Linked DNA regions of Kluyveromyces lactis. The protein of the gene in region 2 interacts with the protein of the main gene of each other region in a pairwise test. Links are inferred from orthologs where the notes say so. Each region holds a gene or a part of one and is shown on either strand. Other genes may lie near its edges.

Region 1 (3,029 bases), on a different chromosome or scaffold from region 2:
AAACGCACATTATGCTTCTGTTTCAAGAAGTTAGCCAAGTTTACTATGAATACTGGACAATTGAAGTTCCATGAGTTGAAAGCGATACCAAATTGGGCTCCCTCAGGTTTGAATTTTGCAAGTTCTTCCTTCGATAGGACCTTATACTCTTCCAAATATTGGCTCAAGGAATTAATCTTGGCCTTGGGAGGCTGGTAATCCCATAATTCCGTGGATGGTCTGCGAGCTAATCCTAACCACTCTGCATCTTTACCCTTGTAGAAATCCAGTAATTTTTCACTTAAAGTAGGTAAATTCTCATACGTGAACCTATCATACCACATGACGTTTTTATCATCAGGTGAAATACAAGACCAAACACCACCTGCCCATGGACTAGTATAACCAGTGGGTGACTGGTCACCTGGTAAGTAATCTGCCACAATGCAGATATTTTCACCCGGAACGCCGTACAATTCGGTCAAACAGTACGTGACGTACAAACCAGAAATACCTGCACCAACAACAGTGATCAATGGCTGAGATTTGTTAGACATGTCATTTGATAATTTCAGGCTCAAATAAAGCTTACTGATGAAATTGTGACTTTCACCGCTATAGATATATTCAGTAGATGTTTTACTCTACTATAGAAACTGGGAATGCTCAAGTAAGTGATCTGCCAATTGGCTGTTTCCTACTTCAAACTGAAACTAGGTTGGAAAACTTTACTGAGGAAAGAGAATCTCAATCCCATGTCCCTTCACTTATGTATGTTACCGATGACAAACCATGCTATTCTGACAAACGCGCTGCCTCGACCCCACCTATCTTAGATATCACTTCCAGCTCATTTACAGTCAAGTCATGTTGCCTTCTCTCGAGGAACTACCATTTAAGGTAACTCGAAAAATCTGTAAATCCACGTTGCGGTCTTAGCTATTCCCTTATCAATTCTCTGTTAACTTTAACTATGACTTTCAGTTCACCTATCGGGAAATGAGTTCCGCAGATTTACCCGCATGGATCCAATTTATGCTCAGTCGCAGTGGTAACAACCGACAGAACATGTGTGAAACTGCACTTTCTTGAACGGTGAAGCGCATTGCGGTATGTCCGAGCAGTGATGTGTATTATAAGTCACATGACTGACACCGGGGTAACATTTTTTCAGGTTTCGAGATTGGATGGAATGTTCACCAACATGAAACAAAGATTCAAGGACGAAACATTCTTTATCTGGACGACATGGAACGTCGCGCATTGTGTCAACTCAATGGGATACTTAAGGCGCCGAGTCAACGCTCGGGAATGACGATAAAGGATTCCCATCCAGAGTTTTGCAATTGGACGCTATAGGTATATATAATATTTAATCCTTAGTGGGGGGAAACTAAATCTATAATAGTGGAATAGCAGAGATCATTATAACAAGCAAACCGGAGATCTAACAGCATAGAGATGCCACGAACAATCACGTATGATATCCCATCCCATTATCAACTAGTAGATCTGGTTGGTGAGGGAGCATATGGTACAGTTTGCTCTGCGATACATAAGCCAACAAACACGAAAGTTGCAATTAAAAAGATACAGCCGTTTAGCAGATCGATGTTTGTTACCAGGACGTTACGGGAGTTGAAACTGTTGAAATTCTTTCATTCGCATGAAAATATCATATCGGTCTTGGATATAGTACGTCCGACGTCATGGCATAAATTTGAAGCAGTTTATCTTGTACAAGAGTTGATGGAAACGGATTTGCAGAAGATTATCAACCAACAAAATTTATCAGAGGATCATATCCAATATTTCGTTTATCAAATACTAAGGGCTTTAAAATCGCTACATTCGGCACAAGTAATCCATAGGGATTTGAAACCAAGTAATTTGTTACTGAATAGCAATTGTGATCTCAAAGTGTGTGATTTTGGGTTGGCTCGTTGCCTGGCATCGAGTGATCAATCAAGAGAGAATATGGTGGGTTTCATGACAGAATATGTAGCTACCAGATGGTATAGGGCTCCAGAAATCATGTTGTCCTTCCAAGAATACACAACTGCAATGGATATCTGGTCATGTGGATGTATACTAGCAGAAATGATCATGGGTAAGCCGCTTTTCCCAGGTAAAGATTACCACCATCAACTCTGGATCATCTTAGAAGTTTTAGGGTCTCCAACTTTGGAAGACTTTGAACAAATCAAGAGTAAAAGGGCAAAAGAATACATATCTCAACTACCCATGAAGAAAGGTATACCCTGGGCTAATGTGTTAAATAAAGAAGTTAACCCTCTTGCTATCGATTTATTGTCCAAGATGCTAACTTTCAACCCAGACAAGAGGATCAGTGCAGTTGAAGCGTTGGAACATCCATATTTGGCAACATATCATGATCCAGATGACGAGCCAGATTATCCCCAACTAAACCTTGAAGACAATTTTTGGAAAATTGACAACGAGGCCCGCGATAAAAACGAGGAAGACGATATTCCACTGGAACTGTTGAAAAAGATGCTTTATGGTGAAGTTATGAAGCCTCTAAATTGATATGTTCGATATTCTATGAACTAAAAAAAAACTATCCGCATAGTCTTTGAATGAATGTACTGAGACTCAAGGATTTTACGTTTCATGGGTACTTCTCATTAGGACGCCTAGTCTGTCAAATTGAGGAAAAGTAATACAAGAATTCTCATACTCATATTAGACAATCATATAGTTAATTACATAACTAAGTAAAGCTACGAATAACCACATCACGTTTTTCATACTCTTTGATCCCTTATGAACCTTAAGTGTACTTTATGCCCTGAAATGAAAAATAAAGTAGCGATATAATTAGAATGAACAAGAACTTGAACAAAAGACCCGCATCAATAGAAGAAAAAATGAAAACCAAAGTGGATCTTAAAGAAATCATCAAGAGCACCAAAACAGGTGCAAATAGCTTTAAGGATTGGTGAAGTGTATAAAACGTGTTATTCGGGGCTCGCATATCATAATTCGTTCAATATGATCAGTGAAACATCGACGATGCGGTTACCTTC
Region 2 (4,291 bases):
CCTCAGCAGAAGATGACTTTTTTACCCCCTAAGAGGGTTTAAAAAGGATCGTTCGAAATGGTTCTTTTGAAACACTAGTTAGATATCAATACTAATGGGTGCAAGAATGAAAAGAAGGGTTGTTTGGTTTTCCTTTTTACAATAGTATGGTTGATTGCTAGCAATAAATGGAAGCTTTGTTTCACATATCTGCATCCAGTAAATAGCGAGGAGCACGCAAATAATTGAAAAAATGAAGATGCGGATTTCGATGCAGGTTAAAACTATTAAAGAATGTAAAATGCTTTTCTTTTGACATAATTCATGACACTATGATTAGTGTTAATAAAATAATATCCTTAAATTATTCAGGAAACTCATTAAGTTGTCCCAGCTTGACAGTGTAACATATTTTGTTGTATATGTTTTACTGAATCAGTCAAGTCTTTTACTCATTTGGCAGATCTGAAAGATTAAATCCGTGTGCCAGACGATCAATATCATTCATAATACGTGACTGAAATGATAAGTTCGAACTATGCATTTGATGACTGGAAGGCATTAAGGTAGTGACCTCATCCTGTGAGGTATTCCCACCTGTAACTGTAATAGGTGAGACGTTCATACCTGATGTAATGGTTGATGTGTCATTATTGGAGCTATTGAACACTTGATGTAACAAATTTCCGTTATCATTAAATAGTTGCGATGGAGCTAAATCTTCGAAGTTAAAGTCCATGTAATTATTGAATGATTCGTTACCATATTCTGTACCCATTTGCTTGGTATGCAAAACCATCTCGCTGTTCGTATTGATATCGGGTAGATGATGTTGATGCTCTGCAAGAGGATTCTTAGATTCCATAAATGAGGGGTAAGAATTAGCGTCCGCCAGCTCAGGGGCTGTTTGTCTAGTAGAAATTGTGGATGTGGATGATATTCCAATATGGCTGCTTGACGCACTTGTATTCATGGCAGACTCATACTCCTCATCTTCATGAATCGTTGGTCTGAAGTAAAGATGGCCATCATCTTCAAGCATGTCTGCATCCTCAGAATTCTCTTTGACGGATCTCGGTTTAGGAAATTGCATCAATGCACTATCTGCAGTTCCAGGAGTAGAAGACGAGGAAGAGATGGAGGTGATACTATTTGTACAAGCGTAATTCATAACTGCTCCTTGTGCAGAATGCAACCTTGCCATATCTGATATCGATTCTTGCTTTTTCCTATGGGTTGGCTTATTTCCCTTGTTATGAGTGTCCAAATACGATTCCATACCTGGCAGTTCAGAACTGTCAGTATTAGAAATCTTCATAGAAGTTTGTAAACTAGTTAAATCTCTGGAAAGCCTATGGTTGGAAGTTCTAGTATTCGATCTTGTTCGGTTTTGAGAACCGGACCGTATTGGCGAGTAACGCATAGAGGAAGTAACCGAAGTACTACTTTGATGTCTATCTAAAGCCGGGATAGAAGGTTGTGTCGCCGACAATGAGAGAAGAGAACTTATGGACCCGCCAGTGTTTGTTCTTTTCCTCGTGAATAATTTACTGAATGCCACAGAAGCATCGTTCTCATCAGTGAAATATGTGGATAGTGTATCTGATGATACATCGGATTGGTGTAACGATGGAACCGATGAAATACGTTCAGTGTCCTGATATGGTTCCATGTAGTGGTGATCAAAGTCGTCGTCACCATCGTCATCCTCATCACAGTTTCCCGAATGACTGGATGCATTTGGTTTAATTTGCATTAGGGCTCCTGGAATGTTGGACAAGGAAGTTGATGGCCCATTTGGCTCTAACTTTAGGGTTGGAACCATTCGCAACTCAATATTCGACTGACTCTTTGTGTTTTGTAACGCGTTAGCATGACCACTTGCAGTTTGAGCTCCATTACCTGCTGATTTAGCTATATTAAACTTCAGCAAGTCCATCTTTTCCAATTGTTCGCTTTTGACGAATTTCTGAGCTGATTGGGCTAAAGAGCATCTACCATTGTTTCTCACCAAAGCCACGTTAGAGCTAGCAGATCTTGTCAAAGCAGGTTTTTGTCCATTTGGAATAGGTTCAGATCTTGGAACTATTTCATCCATTTGCTCAGATTCAACAACGGCATTGCTTGGGTTATACCTGTGGCATTTCAAGAAAGACCCATAAGTTCTCTTGGCGGCAGATGCCGGTGCAGACTGAACAGTCAAAGTTTTACTAGCTATGATTGTCGAACTCGAACCGGGACTGGAAGCTGACCTACCGTCATTATTACCACTGTTATTATTTCCGGTAAAAATTCTCAGCATTCGATCCCTCTTAGATTGTTTCTTCTTCTTCTTTTGCGTTTCTATAGTGTCTTGCACAGAGTAATTCACGAATACCATTTCATTCTTACCGTTAGAACCAGATCCTCCAGCACCATTTTTCTTTGATTTAGATGTCTTAACGGCTTTAGTCTCACGTAAAGCCGGTGGTTCACTTAACTTGATCTGAACTGGACTAGCCATGATATTCACCTTATTCGAACCCTTGCCACCTTTTAAAGACATCGTAGGACTGTACTGAAGTTGCGAAGAAGTCATAGGAGGATTTAGATCGTTCAAAGTTGGTTTCAAATTACTTTGAATGATGACTTGCGAACCATGTGCTGTTGACATTTTTTTACTCTTGACATCGAATGACGTCCCATTGTTCATGTAAGCTTGCCCAAAAGCCGAATCAAACGATATACCTGAACCCAGTGGTGTCAAATCTTCCATCGGAGAACCATTCATGCCGGCTTGGAAACCACCGTGACCCGATGAAGAGCCTGGAAATCGTGCCATCTGAAAAAAAACAGAAATCCACAGTACCAGAAAGAGCAGATTAGAACTTAGGTCAATAAGGATCTACCAATCCTAACGCCAACACTCACTGCTGCTTGCTGTGATATCAAAATTGAAACCAAAGGTGAGTTTGGAATCAGTTCAGTGTAGTCTTTTTGAAACCAAAACAGTGTATCTAAGCAAAGTGAAAAAAAATTTAGCAACAAAAAACACACGAACACACCTCAAACAGTAAAAATTATATGGGGACACTAATACCTAATACTGACGCCAATTCAGTAATCACGGTCAATGCGTCCTGGGGTATTCAATCCTTGACTTTTCCTTCAGATCTCAGATCTAAGAAGCACGCTGTTTTCTCCAGGTTTATATTTAACACCACTTATTTCATGGTTTTGGAAAATTAAAGATCTCTCTTTTCACTTATATTTCATTATTTACTAACATGGTTCTCACGATATATTTAAAAATGGCGGAAGTTTGCTTTCCTCGACAAGGCAGGTGATCAGAGGAGGGGGGTAAAAGACGTTGTAAGAGATGTCGGTGCTCGTTAAGAGACTGGTATGGCAATATTCAATTATAGTAGCGTAAATATATGATATCCTTTTTACCATGAAAAGTTTGTAGTTGGCTTAAGCAGGTTTTACATAAAACCGGCCTAGATATTCAAGAAATATCCATGGTTATCCATGCCGGACAGTAGTTCTTTTACGCTGGTTAGACAGGGAAAACCGAAAAAAATCTCTGCCGGAGAACAGAAATACTGGAATGGGATATTTCCGTTAAAAATAGATCCCGGACAAAAAAAAAAAGAAAGTAATATAGTGGTGGGATTCTCATGAGATAGGGCCCCGACACATACATGGTATATCACAACTGTTTCTAATTTAGTTTATCTTGTTTAAAGTTACTTAAAGTTGGTTAGTTAGTTAATTTTACATATATAACATTTCTCATGCAATGAATGAATTATAAGTGTAGCAGAAAGGAAATTTTGTTTAGGAATTACAAACTGTCACAAAGAAGTATTGAAAGTATTTCAATTGGCAATTATGAGGACAGTCTCTACTATTACGTTGAAATGAAGAAATTGGAAAGTTCTGTTTTTTTTTATTTTTCTATCACTTTTAGTCATGACTGCTTAATAGTGTCGCGGCTCTAGTGACACCCGGCAACTCCAAGGATACACGCGCACGTTCGACGGAGTATCTGTTGTCTAATTGGTTTGAATTTCTCATCTCTGCTCTTGTTATCTCTAGAGATGGACGTCCTGATGACCTTTGATGACGGTTATGTGGGTAGCTTCGAGGTGACGTGGCAGAACTGTTGAACAATTCATCCATTGGGATCTCTTCTGTCTGTATACTGTCTGTAGAAGATTGAGCCATTTCTATGTCTTTATTGTAAACAAAGGCATTCTTCACCTTTGGTCTATCTGGATCGGTTGGATCGTACCCTTCTGGATAATGATCGAAATCACCTCGTTTCCAA
Region 3 (3,410 bases), on a different chromosome or scaffold from region 2:
TATTGAATACAGTGACCGATTCTAGATCAAAGAACTAGAGGAGCAAAACTGAAACAATAAATTAACACCAATTCTTCACATTCAACGAGTTAGGTATCTTATTTATCTCGTATGTATCTTGTTTATAGTAAAAGTCAAAATTCAAAACAATATGACGACGAGTTGTAATCCCTATGTAAAAATCCAAACAGAGATGTTTTCAGAATATATGTTAAAAACTGGGGGATATACAAAGGAGCAATCATTGTGTTTCATATAGATGTCGTGCACATTTCATGTCTAGGTTTATGATGCAAAAGTTGATATAAGTTGAGGCAAGTTTCGGACCTGCCTGACTTGAAGTAAATATGTTTAAAATAGCGTCTTAAGAGCAAAGTATCTCAAGGAATGTAGTCGCAGAAGAGTATAGGGAGGAGTGGGTATCTTGGATCATGTTAAATTTAAAACTCTTCTGCTAATTGCTTCGACTGGAAATTCAACTTGGTAGGATTGCTCTTTGCCTGGAACAACTTCGATCTGTGATCGTTCAACTTCTGGGAACATGGAGAGAGCAAATCATCGGTAGGAGAAGCAAACTTGTTCTTCATTTCTGAAAGCTGGTGTGGTGATGGTTTCTTAAACATGGCCTTGTGCAAACTTGTACTCGCAGTTTGAGAATCCTGTTTCTGATGTAATGGTTGAAATTGGCCGGCAGTCATTATTCTTTGAGCTACTTTGAACTAGGCTTGTATCTGTTTGATCTTATTTAGTACCTGGCTCCTGAATAGCAGTTTTATAGGTTGTCGTGATGAACACTGTAATGTGGTTTCTACACATGTAGCATTGCATTTCTATGACTTTATATCACTATTTCAATGTTTACGTTTCTCCTAATTGGGAAATCTAAGTAGTGTATTCTTTGTGTCGGTCACATGACAGTTTTGAGTCACGTGAACATTGGAAAATGTATACCGTAATTTAATCATTAAGAACTACCTGTTGTTCAATGAATCTAGGATACTTTTCTAGGTATATTGTGGTTCCTCACCGAATCCCGAATCCAAGTGTTGTCACCTTCCCCATTTCTATCCACATGATAGTCACGTTTATCTACCGTTTTCGGAAATTCTCTATTTAGAATCGAAAAAAATCGTGTCGAAACCTTGGAAAAGTACAGAATACAAAGAGATCTGTCTAATGATCGAAGCATATGTCCTCAGGTAAGTGTTTACGCGAGATCAATAAAGTTCAGAAGCAAATTAGTAGGATTTACTAGGAATTGACATAGTATCTTAGTGTTTTAAGTGAGAAAATCTGATTAATATGCAAGCTTTTAAGAAGAAATTACAGCAATTAGTGTATTCTTTTAGTACCGAAGATCGGTATGCGGATTACGATGAAGAAGCTGCCAATCCAGATGTTGCTGCTGGAGTAGAACGGTCGATAACTGAATCTAACCATGGTTCCCAAATCCAATTGGCGGATTATGTGGATGGGTCGAACCCCAGTGGCAACGAGGGTATCAATGAAGCACTTTTGGCATGGAGACATATCGATAATTGGACGTCACAACATAATCCTGATTTGGCAGCAACGTTGAGTGACCCATGCACAAGACACGACATCAACAATGCTGAGAAGGATTTAGATATTATTTTCCCCGCTTCAGTAAGGGCATCTCTAAGGTTGCATGATGGTCAAGAAGATCTAGTGTCGATGACAGGCACTGGGGGTTTGTTCTTTGGGCTACAGTTGATGGGACTAGATGAAATCGTTCAAATGACAAGAACGTGGAGAAATGTGGCTGAAAATTTGGAACGTAAGAACCATGAGTTACAAATTAAGATGGATAAACATCAAGAGCTGAATGGCACCACTGTTGATTTGCCAAACCAACAAAAAGGATACGGTAAATTAGAAAACCAAGATTACAAAGCTATGGATCCAAATCTTCAAAGGAATATTTCACAAAACTATAAGAAGCAGTTCAAGCTACCAGATATCCCAGACCAACATTCTGTTCCGCCATTGGCCATTCAACAAGTCTATGCTAACTCAGGGTGGATTCCATTGGTAACGGATAATGCAGGGAACCACATCGGTATCGATTTGGCACCGGGACCAAAGGGTAAATACGGTCAAGTTATCCTTTTCGGAAGAGAATTCGATACTAAATTTGTTGTTGCAAGCAATTGGGGTGATTTCTTGTTAAGTTTTGCCAATGATTTAGAACTTGGTAATTGGTTATTGATCGATGAAGGTAACGACCAGTTTGCTGGTGAAGGTGAACTTGTGTTTAGAGACAAAAAGAGTAATGGCCCAGTTCGAGATTACTTAGAAGTTTTGGTAATGAGATCAAGAATGAAGTGGAACTCCTTTACCGAAAGAAAGCTGCCCGAAGAACCTAAAAGAACTGTTTCATCATCTCAAGGGTCTCAAAATACTGTAGAACCTGCAGAACAACAGGAAACAGCTTTGACTGTTGATGAAACTTTGGATGAGAAGAACGACACTTCCTTATCTGTAGACAATACTGGCACAAAACAGGAAGTTAAGGATCCTGAAACGACAGGTACAAAGACAGGATCTAGCGCTAAAGCGGAAGACAATCTACCAAAGACTTCAAATCCAGATGAAGTGATGGCAGATGGTGCTGACACACAGGAGACAAGCAAACACGAACAAAACGAAAGCACTAATGCTGTAGAAAACACCGAAACCAGTCAAGAAGGTGCAGTTGAAACTTCAGAAAAGCCTGAGGAAAAGCCCAAGAAGCAATCGAAGAAAGCATCCAAGAAAAAGGGTAAGAAGGATGAAAAAAAGGACACTGATAGTAAAACAAAAGAGCCAGAAGTGGAGGAAGAAACCGAGTCCCACTTGGCTAATTCGGTTGAGAAGTTAAAGGACGATTTCGAAAACGTAGCTCTTTGATCTCTTAACAAGACTAATGTCCCAAATCTTCAATTTCATACCTTCCAAAATATATTCCACAATTTTCTAAGATGGTGTTATTTTCTCAATATAAATCGGATATTATTAACTAGTAGTAATGGTAAAATTATGTCCAATTAGATGTTCTATATATTCTGTTTATGTCTTTACCAAATGATATGCTGTACAGTAGTTTCAGATTCCCATTTTATATCAAATCTCTTGAAAATAATATACGTGATCAAATTAATTATCATAAACCATGCACATTCAGACAAGTGTCTTTTCGTTCCAGTCACCTTACCTATTGGATTACCCCAGAATGGTTCAGGTGCCATTGTGATGAAAAGCCTCCAAAATATAAATGGCAAGATGTAGTATCGAGGTTCAAACAAGGGAGAAGGAACCACCGTCATAAATGTGCACATAATCAAGGCAGTCCACGAAATATGTGTCAATTGAATTGGTAAATCGATTGGGTTTTTAATTTCAATAGGCAA

What was found. The genes of interacting proteins can lie anywhere in the genome.
Region 1: the proteins of BCK2 (region 2) and KSS1 interact in binary tests that used the Saccharomyces cerevisiae proteins (3 or more experiments, as listed by UniProt). The link is inferred for Kluyveromyces lactis from reciprocal best matches to the Saccharomyces cerevisiae genes BCK2 and KSS1.
Region 3: the proteins of BCK2 (region 2) and SMI1 interact in a two-hybrid assay, tested with the Saccharomyces cerevisiae proteins (2 studies listed by BioGRID). The link is inferred for Kluyveromyces lactis from reciprocal best matches to the Saccharomyces cerevisiae genes BCK2 and SMI1.

What each region holds. Positions count from the first base shown.
Region 1 is NC_006037.1:217,152-220,180, forward strand, and holds KSS1 (mitogen-activated serine/threonine-protein kinase KSS1), read left to right. Parts: upstream 1-1,440; coding exon 1,441-2,529; downstream 2,530-3,029. Other genes in the region: KLLA0_A02475g (FAD-dependent oxidoreductase), read right to left, coding at 1-536; LUG1 (Lug1p), read left to right, coding at 2,995-3,029. UniProt on the Saccharomyces cerevisiae protein: Together with closely related FUS3, KSS1 is the final kinase in the signal transduction cascade regulating activation/repression of the mating and filamentation pathways, induced by pheromone and nitrogen/carbon limitation, respectively.
Region 2 is NC_006039.1:1,561,505-1,565,795, reverse strand, and holds BCK2 (Bck2p), read right to left. Parts: upstream 2,801-4,291; coding exon 428-2,800; downstream 1-427. Other genes in the region: aminophospholipid-translocating P4-type ATPase DNF1, read right to left, coding at 3,928-4,291. UniProt on the Saccharomyces cerevisiae protein: Dosage dependent suppressor of PKC1 deletion and MPK1 deletion. Involved in cell lysis.
Region 3 is NC_006041.1:1,408,682-1,412,091, forward strand, and holds SMI1 (Smi1p), read left to right. Parts: upstream 1-1,302; coding exon 1,303-2,910; downstream 2,911-3,410. Other genes in the region: prohibitin subunit PHB2, read left to right, coding at 1-38; BNS1 (Bns1p), read right to left, coding at 441-698; DIE2 (dolichyl-P-Glc:Glc(2)Man(9)GlcNAc(2)-PP-dolichol alpha-1,2- glucosyltransferase), read right to left, coding at 3,078-3,410. UniProt on the Saccharomyces cerevisiae protein: Protein involved in the regulation of cell wall assembly and 1,3-beta-glucan synthesis, possibly through the transcriptional regulation of cell wall glucan and chitin synthesis.